Caenorhabditis elegans: one gene and its partners. The protein of the gene in region 2 purifies or fractionates together with the protein of the main gene of each other region. This does not show direct contact. Each region holds a gene or a part of one and is shown on either strand. Other genes may lie near its edges.

What was found. Proteins that work in one complex are often made in the same cells at the same time.
Region 1: the proteins of pid-1 (region 2) and egc-2 purify together in Caenorhabditis elegans (affinity purification with mass spectrometry, with the first as the bait; one large-scale study listed by BioGRID). This does not show direct contact.
Region 3: the proteins of pid-1 (region 2) and erh-1 purify together in Caenorhabditis elegans (affinity purification with mass spectrometry, with the first as the bait; one large-scale study listed by BioGRID). This does not show direct contact.

Annotation. Positions count from the first base shown.
Region 1 is NC_003282.8:8,900,075-8,903,677, reverse strand, and holds egc-2 (CCHC-type domain-containing protein), read right to left. Parts: upstream 2,033-3,603; 5' UTR 2,018-2,032; coding exon 1,961-2,017; intron 1,915-1,960; coding exon 1,293-1,914; intron 1,246-1,292; coding exon 928-1,245; intron 882-927; coding exon 718-881; 3' UTR 501-717; downstream 1-500. Other genes in the region: Putative serine/threonine-protein phosphatase C27B7.6, read left to right, coding at 278-431; rad-54.L2 (Helicase ARIP4), read right to left, coding at 2,631-2,716, 2,763-2,912, 2,956-3,603.
Region 2 is NC_003280.10:7,688,596-7,693,046, reverse strand, and holds pid-1 (Protein pid-1), read left to right. Parts: upstream 1-2,490; 5' UTR 2,491-2,543; coding exon 2,544-2,597; intron 2,598-2,647; coding exon 2,648-2,758; intron 2,759-2,804; coding exon 2,805-2,917; intron 2,918-2,962; coding exon 2,963-3,029; intron 3,030-3,076; coding exon 3,077-3,241; 3' UTR 3,242-3,357; downstream 3,358-4,451. Other genes in the region: nhx-2 (Na(+)/H(+) exchanger protein 2), read left to right, coding at 116-249, 298-623, 851-1,124, 1,176-1,319, 1,494-1,583, 1,627-1,794, 1,842-1,951, 1,999-2,227; F18A1.1 (Receptor L-domain domain-containing protein), read right to left, coding at 3,358-4,391, 4,437-4,451. UniProt on the Caenorhabditis elegans protein: Component of the pid-1 variant of the PETISCO complex which is required for the biogenesis of a class of 21 nucleotide PIWI-interacting RNAs (piRNAs) that possess a uracil residue at the 5'-end (also called 21U-RNAs).
Region 3 is NC_003283.11:10,577,927-10,580,651, forward strand, and holds erh-1 (Enhancer of rudimentary homolog), read right to left. Parts: upstream 1,216-2,725; 5' UTR 1,101-1,215; coding exon 1,010-1,100; intron 939-1,009; coding exon 808-938; intron 763-807; coding exon 673-762; 3' UTR 501-672; downstream 1-500. Other genes in the region: mics-1 (PDZ domain-containing protein), read right to left, coding at 1-58, 104-283, 332-395; lpd-9 (LiPid Depleted), read left to right, coding at 1,396-1,466, 1,881-2,013, 2,435-2,626. UniProt on the Caenorhabditis elegans protein: May have a role in the cell cycle.

The sequences.
Region 1 (3,603 bases), on a different chromosome or scaffold from region 2:
AAGCGCTTATTCTGTGTGTCCATAGTTTGTAGTCTATGTAGCCTTTGTAGTCTGTGAAGTTTTGGCTTCTGGAGGGATAGTGAGTTAGGGTTAGTGTAGGGATATAGTTGGGGTACTGTAGTGGTACAATAGTGGTACGGTAGGAATACTGTAGGGTTACGGTAGTTTCATAAAAAATTAATTTTCAGCCCCAGAAGTCGGGGGCCGCGCCGAAGGTGCGGTCCACGGCTGGTTTTTTATATGCGAAGAAGTTTTTTCATGTTTACAATATTTCCAGAGATAAAGTCATGTCTCTTGAATCAATCCGCAAAAAATTGGGAATGACTACTAGTACGACGCCGCCTCCGCCAAGAACTCCATCTCCGGACGCTCCACTCGCCCAATCTCCGCCAATTCCACGATCGCCTCCGAGTTCTACTGAAAATGCGTAGATTTCCTTTGAATGAAGTATACTGTAGAAAATGTTCAAGTTTGAGTGTGTATAATTATGAAACGAGAGTAACATGAAACACTTTTATGAAATGAGGTTGAAGACTCAAATCAAAAATACAAGTTTTCAAATTTAGGACAGAAACAATTCCAGAACGTAAAAAACAATACCTAGAAGTCAATAAATGGAACAACAATGAAAAACAGTAAAAATACGCTGCAAATTGGGCAGAGTTCCCAATAGTAATTATTAAACATTTTCCTTGATAGCATCATAATTATCAGAAATTATGAATTTTGTGAAGCGACCGGCACGAACTGGGCAGCGATGACACGGACGTTGGGCGGAAGAACTCGTGGGAAATTGATGATAGTCGTCTCCTCGAAGTGGAATTCTCCATCGCGCATCACAGTTCTGCGTGTCTCGATTGACAAAGTCTCCGTAGAAATTTCTGTAATAATGAACATTATACAATTATAGAATTTTGATAATCTCACGTTTGGCTCCTTCTCTGCTCTGTAGAGTGTTGATTGGAGCAACTGGTGGCACTTCTTTCATCAATTTTTCAGCTGGCCCTTTTCCAGTGATAGTCATCACGTATGGCGACGGAGCTACCGGCTCGACATTGCTGAGCTTCAAAGCATTGTCCAACTGCTCTGAGAATTTGTCAATTTCGGGCGACATCATTGGTGCTGTGAAACCACTTCTCACGCTGCCAACACTTCTTGGGGTGAGACTGTTGATGCTGTAGCCGTACCCTCCATAATAAGACTCACGGGCCTTTTGATTGTCCAACTTGCTTTGATACAGTCCACCTGAAAACATAAAAATTGTTACGTTTTCCTAGTATTCAAACAATAACCTCCATGCAAAGCCTTCATATTAGAAGAGTATCTTGATGCGTCTTCTTGGAGTAAATCTTTCGTCTCAAATGGTTCCACTTCGATATCTTTTCCATCTCCGTGTTCATCCGTTTCTCCAACCTTCTTCGGGCACATTCTCGAAATGTGTCCATGCTCTTGACAATGGAAGCAGTGGCCTGGCCCACCTCGCCCACGTCTACCGGTTCGGCGGCCAGAGCGTGGTCTCTTCGATGAAGATCCCATACCATCGGATCGGGGCGAACTTCGGAAAGATCCACGCCGTGGACTACCCATTATATTCTCAGATGGCAGAGGTGTCACGCAACGTTCATTATTCATGTAAAGAGCATCCGAAACAGCAACACGAGATGATCTGCTTTCTCGATAACTGCTGTACCCTCCTCGTACGGAACCAAATCCAGAACTGTCGTTTAGGTGAGAGGAGTTTCTGGGGATTCTACCGCCAAGTCCACTAACGGATCCAAAATCAGAGAAGCCTTCACCTCCTCCAAATCCTCCTCGATACTTTCTCGGTTGATCAGTTAGCGCTCCGAATGCTCCACTATTTTGAGTTTTTGGCCATGGAGAGTATTGAGCTCTCTCAAGATAATGTTGTCTGTCCTGAAATGAATAGTTTACAAATTGTCATTAATTTGATAAAAAATACCGTTCTCGCCGACATTCCGTTTTCCATTGACTTCATTTCACTCGACAATTCCGACATATCCGACCGAAATGTCTAAAAAAATTATTTTGAGAAACTGGCAGAACGCTGAATATTTAAAAATTAATCTAAAAACCATTAATTCATCAGAAATGGGTGAGAGAAATGAAGAAAATTGAAGAAACGTGCCGAACGAGTTCAGAATTTCGTGTCGGGACCAAAACCTACAGTAACCAAGTCAGTATTTAAAAACGCGTTATTAAGAGGCACTACAAAACGGGGATCTGCGGAAAAATGTTATTCCAATTTCTCTTTCAAGCGAATCCGATAATTTAAATATTATTCGTATTTATTCATTAAATTAAAAGAGAAGGCGTATAAAACACAATTGGCAGCTTGCCGAACAGCGGAGCTGATTACTGTGTTGGAAAAAACAGAAAAATTTAATTAATTGACATACTAATGATAAAAGGGAAGAGTGTGGACAAAGTTGAAATGTGGAAATTCGAAACTTGCCTAAAATTAATTTAGGAGCCTCTATAAGAGGAAAAATAATTGAGTAAAATGATAGTGAATTATCAGAGATCTCATTGGATGTTGCATTGAGATAGATGTTGTATTTTATATGATAAAAAACGAAATGTACATCAAAAGAAAAAAATGCAAGACGTTGTTAATCAAGATCGATGACTTCTTGAACCTGCTGCGGATCATGGTTGAAATTTTTGCTTAGATACATATCACGAAGCTGACGGGCATCTATAAATTTTAAAAAATTATACGAAATTTTTTCTAGTAAACTAACGATTCTCAAAAACACTTCCGACAGCGTCAAGAATTGTTCCATCACGTAGTTTCACATAATATCCATTTTTCGGAACAACTAACTGTATTGGTGTATTTGCCTGAACCTGATGAAGCTGATCTCTATGTCCGACAATGGGAAAAACGAGTTCTAAAAATTTGAATTTTCAAAAAAACTTAAACGTCAAACTCACGTCTATCAGTAATCAATTGTTGAACTGCTCCAGCCGGGGAAAATGATGGTATTTTGCTCATAACAGCTCCCGGAAAAGCTGATGGATCTCTTGGAGGAAGCATTTGTTGAGGGTTTCCTATAGCTCCTCCATTGTTATTATTCGGATAGCCATTGTTGAATGACGTCATCGTATGACCACCTCCTTGGTGATGGAATTGACTGACATTCATTCGAAGCGTGTGAGGCATTGGTGATGGACGAATTGATGGAATTTGAGGTGATGGTCCATGAGGTGGAAATTGTGACATGTTTGGCATCGGTTGTGGAAATTGCTGTGGTGGATAAGATCCAAAATTGGGTGCAAGCTGATTAGGAGATTGTTGCCAATGATTATTGAAACTATTTTGCATGTTATTATTGAACATCGGAACTGGTGGTGGACCCATCATTCCCATTGAGCTTCCAGGAGCATTGTTATAAAAGTTAGAACTGCTCAGGCCACTCAATGGATCATAGTTCTCCATACGTCGTTCTCTATCAAAAAGTAATTGAGCTTCTCGTTTTTCCTGCTCGCTGAGTGATTGCTCTGACTCCATTATCAAGGTTTCATGAAGGAACGGTTTCCCGGCAAACATTTGACTCATTCTCTTAGTGATTGAGTCTAGAA
Region 2 (4,451 bases):
TAGCAATTTTAGTGATAAGATAACAATTTGAAATAGTCTAGAAAAGTTTTGAATATCTTTGAAACCGTTATGCCTAGTTAAAGATAAATTTGGAAATAAATCTAATAATTTACAGCTCTCTCCTTATGGGCCATCAGTTTGACTGGATTATTCTCAGTTGAAACTCCACTTATGCATATGCTTCTCTTCGGTTCAGTTGCTGCTGATGTAGATCCAGTTGCTGTAATTGTCATTTTCGAGGAATTGAAAGTGAGACAGTCTCCCAAATTTCTCTGATAACAAAGTCAAAGTTTACAGGTCAACGAAGTTCTTTTTATTGCCGTGTTCGGAGAATCTCTATTGAACGACGGAGTTGCTGTTGTACTTTATCGAATGTTCTTGACCTTCTCTGAAATTGGAACTGAGAATCTGATAACATCTGATTATATCAATGGAGGTGTTTCTTTCCTGGTTGTTGCATTTGGTGGAATTGGAATTGGTCTTCTTTTTGCATTTTTGACAAGTCTTGTTACAAGATTTGCTAGAGATGAAGAGGTCAAAGTGCTCAATTCTGTATTTATTCTCATTCTTCCGTACACTTGTTATCTTTGTGGAGAACTTTTCGGTCTTTCAAGTATTATGGCGTAAGTTAATTTATTTCAGAATTTCTTTTTTATATTGAAACTTTAGCCCTACTCATATTTTCATATTAAATTTTGTATTAAAAATCGGAATTTTAAAATGTAAACTTAAGGTCTAGAGATTGAAGATACTAATATGAAAAGTTTTGGCAAAAACCGTAATTCTCTTCCAGAGCTGTAAAACTGAAACAAAATATAACTAGAACTAATTTTCAATAAAATTTTTGCAGAATTGTATTTTGTGGTGCTGCCATGCGTCAGTACTGCCGTGAAAATGTGGACCCAGACACGGTAAAAGCCACAGAATCATTCATCAAAGTGCTTTCTCTTGCATCGGAAACAGTTATCTTTGTCTTTTTGGGACTCTCAACAGTATCCTCAAACCATCACTGGGACACATCTTTCATCGTTCTTACTGTAGTTTTCTGCTTGATCTACCGTACCCTTGGAGTTGTTGTTATGTGCTATTTCTTGAATAAGTATCGTCTGAATAAGTACACAAAGGTGAGAATTAATTTGTGTTATTTGATAAAAAAAAGTATATGTTTCATACAGGTAGACCAATTTATCATGGCTTATGGAGGTCTTCGTGGTGCCATTGCATACGGTCTTGTCGTTGCAATTCCAGATTTTATACCCGGAAAGAATATGTTTGTCACCAGTTGTATCATTGTCATCTACTTCACTGTATTCCTCCAGGTATCTTTTTAAACAATCTAGCTATATTTTATACCCGTGATGTTTTTAAAAAACATACCTTACTATTACTTTTCAGCATTTCATTTACATAGCCTTCTAATGTGCCTAGTTAAATTTTGAAAAAAAATCTGGATTATTTCCAATACTTCTAAAATAGATTTTTAACATTTTCAGGGAATTACACTGAAACCAATTGCCGAATTCCTACAAGTTGAGAAAAAGAATGTTCACTCAAAGAACATGATTGAGCATATTTACAGCGAAGTGAGTTTTCAGAACCAAAATTCCAGTGAAATGAAAATTATAGCTTATCGACACGACTATGGCTGGAATGGAAGACATTGCCGGTTTCAAGGGGCATCATTGGATTCGTGATTCGTGGAATGCACTCAACAATAATTATTTGAGACCAATTTTAGTTAATAAGAACAATATGAAGGAGATGGATAAGACTAAATTGGTCAGAAAGTACAAGGTATGGTAATACGCTTAATGATATTGTTATTCATAATTAATTTACAGCATTTGGTTGATGAAGATGCAAAGAAGATTGCACGTGGAGATTTAAATAGTAATATGGTATTTACAAAAGCTCTTATTGAACATACAAGAAGTCGAACAAATACAATGATGTAAGTTTCTTCAAACTTCTGAAATCAATTATTCCAAATACTTTCAGCGATGGAGTAAGTTCGACTAGTAAAATAGATTTCACCAAACACATGAAAGAGAATTTTGGAGTAACAGTCTATGATGATCATAGTACTGTACCTATGACACCAACTCATTTATTCCAAGAAACAACTGAAGTTGAATATTCGGTTCGGAGCGAAATCAACGACAATGATGGATTTGAAAACGATGGGTATGAATCGGACGAATCAGGAAGCTTCCACGAAAGAGTATAGGTTTTTTACCTTAATTTACAATTTCTTTCTGTTTTAAACTAGTCTCAAATAGGTAGACTGTGTTTTCTCAATAATGTACATTCATCGAATGAAATTTCTTTTTTTTCTGCATCTATATTCTCATATATTTTGTTAACGTTAATTAACAAGCTAAAAAAAAAGATTTTTACAAGTTTTTTAATTGCGCGCTACCGTAACAAGTTTTTTCGCTTCGAGACCCATGCCTTCAAAATGGACATGTGTCTTTAAAACTTACAGTAACGGTGTTAAAATTATTGCACACAATTTCTTCGGCTGACATTCGAATTTTCCAATTATGTCGGCTAAAAGGGAGTTTTCGCATATTACTTTGGCATCCACACCATTTAAAGTGAGTTTTATCATTTTTTCAGAATTAATAACAATAAAACTTTTTTTCAGAAAAGAATCGATCAGAATTCGTTAAAAACCGACTCGGATATTGAAAAAGACACAAATATCGCACACAAATGCGCTGAACGGTTCAACTACAATACAAATCTTCACAGAAAAGTAATAATCTATTAATGTTGATGACGAAAGCTTTTTTTAATTTTAGGTGACGTTGAGCGATCGTTTCGAGTTGGCAGCCCTTGGATACGAAATGAAAGCAAAGCCGAGAACAATCATCGAAAAACATAATGACTGCGACGAGTTTCATTTTATCTATAGGTTTGTGAAGTACCCACATATTATAACAAATGTTTTAATTTTCAGAAAAGAAAAGAAGAATGATTATGGAACTGGCTCACCACTTTCAGCCGGATTGAGCCTATCTAATCCGGTAAGAAATAAATATTAAATTCACGCATAAAATTATATCATTTTCAGTTGCCAGCTGGACGTGGATTCCTCTCTCCAGCGATTCAGAATACCAGCAACCAGTTCACCTTTTCTGGAAGTCCAAGAATTACCCCCCAGAAGCACACCCCAGTATCGGCCAATCACAAGCCAGCCAGATCCATTTTCGACGACATTCCTTCGAATATTGCATAAGTTTTCACTGTTAATTTACTGTTTTTACTGTTTCATCTTGTTTTGAGTTTATAAAAATGATGTTTCGTTGAATTCAAAAATTTTATAAATTACATTTTAAAAATAACGACATAAAGTTAAAGTTCTCGATCTTCAGTTCCACTCTCATCCGAAGACCTCCAGTTCATCGTTTCTATTTTCACTTTCACAAACATTTCCGAGTTATCAACACCAGCATTCAGTCTATAATCTTCTTCTAGATTAACTGGCTTATCGTAGATGTTAAAGCTTTTTCCTTTTCCATATGTCGTGATCGCCGTCTCTCGTAATTGTTGTTTCCTTTTAGCCCAGGCAATCCACTTCTCCTTTTCACGTTCACTCAAATGATTTTCCAGTTGAACCAGAAGCTCTTCGAATTTGTTCGTGTCCGTGATAATTTCGTTCGGCTCAATAATTTTCCTTTTCTCCATTATTTCCAAAATCATCAGAATTCGATCTTCTTCGTCACCTTCTGCATCGTCAATTATTTCTTTGATCGCTTTATGAACTGCTTCAAAATACTCCAATTCTCGTTCATCAGCTTTTCTTGCCTCAAGTGCCATGTTCTTCGTTCTTCCTTTCCATTTTGTTTCTCCTAAACCAGTCAGTACTGCAATCGGAAGACCTTCTTTTTCATATTTTCCTTGATCTTCATTCATCTCTTTTGCATTCTTTCTTGACTCTTTTCTTCTCAACCAACTTTGTCCTGAGAACTCACTATCCGATTCGTTCTTTTGAATGGATCTCGTCAATGCTCCAAGCTTCCGTCTCCAATTAATTGTTTTTCGATTTGCTCGGTATTCTTTCATTTCCTTTTTCCTTTTTTCTCCCATCACATCCCGTCCATCCAGACGATTTTTAACCAGAATTCTCCTCTTCCACGTCATCACATCAGGTTCTTCATCTGAAGATTTTTCGTCCAAATAAGCTGTTGGGTCAGTTTTGAGATGAATGTCCAATTCTTTTATTTTTCTCCATCGAGTGAAATTCAGGGATTTCAGGAAGATGATCACAACATCTATCATCACATAGCAAACAAATATCAAAATTGACGCCAATACACAGAGGCTCACAATTATTTCCACGAATGTGCATTTTTCTTCGTATTCTTCAAATAAAGTGTCCATTTCAACTGAAACGAATAACCTATTCATTTGATTTTTGAATTTAAACTTACTGTTGGCGCAGTCAG
Region 3 (2,725 bases), on a different chromosome or scaffold from region 2:
CCGATATCTCCAACAAAGTGAGGATTGTCTGTTCCACCAACTATATTGAATCCGAAACCTGTAAAATGAGTACTATATAGACGTTTAAAAATACAATTTATACCTTTAGATGTTTTTTCTATTTCAACTACTGTCAATGCCTCCAATGGAACAGATTCTTGTCCATTTCCATCTGTAGTCGTATCATTGAATGTCATGTCGTCCGTTGCTTCTGCAGCAAATGAAATATCGAATGTATGATCTTCATCAGCGTGAAATGGGGAGGAAACGAGAGCGGCATGATCTGAATATTCTTACCAACTCTCGAGTCCTTCCATAGTTTAATACTTACGTTCATAAACTGGATCTGAATCGGTATTGAACACTGTATCCTCTTGCGGAGGAGACACCATCATTCTGAACAATTTGAAGATTTTTGTAAATTTCGAAAATCACTAATTCCAAATGAAATAAATAATACACAGAAAACAACTGCTGTAATTATAAACGTAGAGAAATAACACCATTTAAAAATATTTATTCATGTGGTTGCGGATGAATTGTATAACTGGATATGAAATTTCGTTTTCACATTTTTTGGAAAAGAGTTTAAAACTTAGGACTGAATCCGTAAAAAGTGAGAAAAGAGAACGTTGGAAAGAGATAGAAGTGAGAAACCCATATGGATGGTAATCAGTGCTGATTATTGAGCCTGTTGTTCATTAATTTGTAGATGCTCTCCTTTACATATTGCTTATTGTGGGGGACATATGTGTATGTTGTCTGCAATTTTTTTTCCGATATTTAAAATATGTTTTAAAAACCAACATTGTCGAGAACCAGCATTGAAAGATCTTTGAGGTCGTCGATGAACTCGAAAAGGTGCGATATGTCATAGGTGATTTCGTTTTGAGCCGGAACCTTCTTTTTCAAATATTCTTCGTAGACTCTGCAGATTCCTATAAGTTAAAAGTTTTTAATTGATTATAAACTTTTAATTTTAAAATGTAATTTGGTTTTTGTTACTCACCTTCAAGACATTCCGTGGTATTCTCATAATCCGACCATGAACGTGACTCGATGTTGTCTGTCGGTTGGAGCAGAAGAATTGTGTGACTCATTTTCAAAAAATTGAGAATATTTTTGAAAGGGAAAAAACGGAGTAAATCTGCAACGTCAACGCAAAAAAAATATTAGCAAGAAGTGCGCCAGTACGTCGAATAGTGCGTCAGCGACGTCCACTGGCGCGCTTTTGGTGTTCGGGCAATTTTTATTTTTATTTTTTCTTTCTTCTATAATTTAACAATTTCCATACTGTTTGAGGTTTTTTGCATAAATTGTGAAAATCGAACAATTCCTATCAAATTTTCATTTTCTCAACACAAATTCTAAAAATTATTTTCAGGTGATTTCGCCATGTCAGGCTTATCTCACGCCGGCCGCCAGGTTGCACGTATTGCAGTTCGACAAGCATCGTCTCACTCTCAGTAAGTTTTTTTTAGTGTTAAAGGCTAAATAATCTGATGTCAAGAAATCATGTTAAAAAACGATATCAATGGAATTTTCGATATTTCAGAAAATATCTGTGTTCTTACCAGGAATTTTATTTTAAACAATAGCTTTTTCGTATTCGTAATGCAATTAGTTTACTAAGTGATTATTCTTAACAAATATAACAAATGCTCACTTTCTTATTTAATCTGTTCCGAAATACTAAATATTTAATCATCTATCCAAAAATATGCGTTTGCTCCCTTTAAAAGCATTAAAAAATGCATTAAATTGTTGATCTCTTAAAGAACAAAATTGATTTTTCAATGCTTGTAATATCTATCCCTCGAATACAAAACAGTTTCCTAAATTGGTGAATTTTTGAATCATAAATTTTCAAATTATTGCAGTGACTCCCACGCCGTCTGGAAAGAAATCAACAGACTCGGAAGTGAGGGAAAATGGGATAATGTGAACAACATGCCAAAAATGTTTTTGTTTGGTGAAGCCAAGCAGGAGACGACAGCTGCTTATCGTGCAATTGTGAGTTTTTTAAAGAATTAATTATGTTCCCGAAAGTACAGTCGGTTCGAAAATAGTTCGAAAATATGTTTTTGTTTTGAGAATTAATTGCAATGCTTTCAAAATAAGATAACCTTAGTACTTAGTTTACTGAATTTTTAATTTTTTGATCATAAAGCTTCCACAGCTATAGATTTATAGTGTCGGGACTGTCCGGCGAGGCTAAAAACTTGGCTTTTGAAGCCGCCATAATGTTTTTAAAAAAATTTCAAAGTTCTTCACAAAATCATATATTTTGTTATGAAATGGCATAAGTACTACAAAAAAAATCAATTTTCTCATGCATAAGTAATTAAAAAAATTTTAAACAAGAAAACGTTCAATTTTTAAAAAGTGACAGCATAAAATAAAACGCAATGCGATTTGTATTGTTTTATTTCAGAACAAAGACCCCGACTTCTTCCGTCAATCTCCATATGGTCAATATTTGAAAATTGTGTGGCGATTGGCTCTTCTTTTCGGAATCATCAAAGCCGGAACTGTTGTCTACGATTTTGCCGTTCCAGAAGAGCAGCGACTCAAGTACAAGTACCGTAATCACGGACATCACGGTCACGACGATGCCCATGACTAAATTTCTGATTCACCACCGTCCGAACGTCTTCTTTTTGCATAGGAAGAAAGAGCCCATTTTAGTGTATTTGTAATCATTATCATTATCACAAAAAGATTT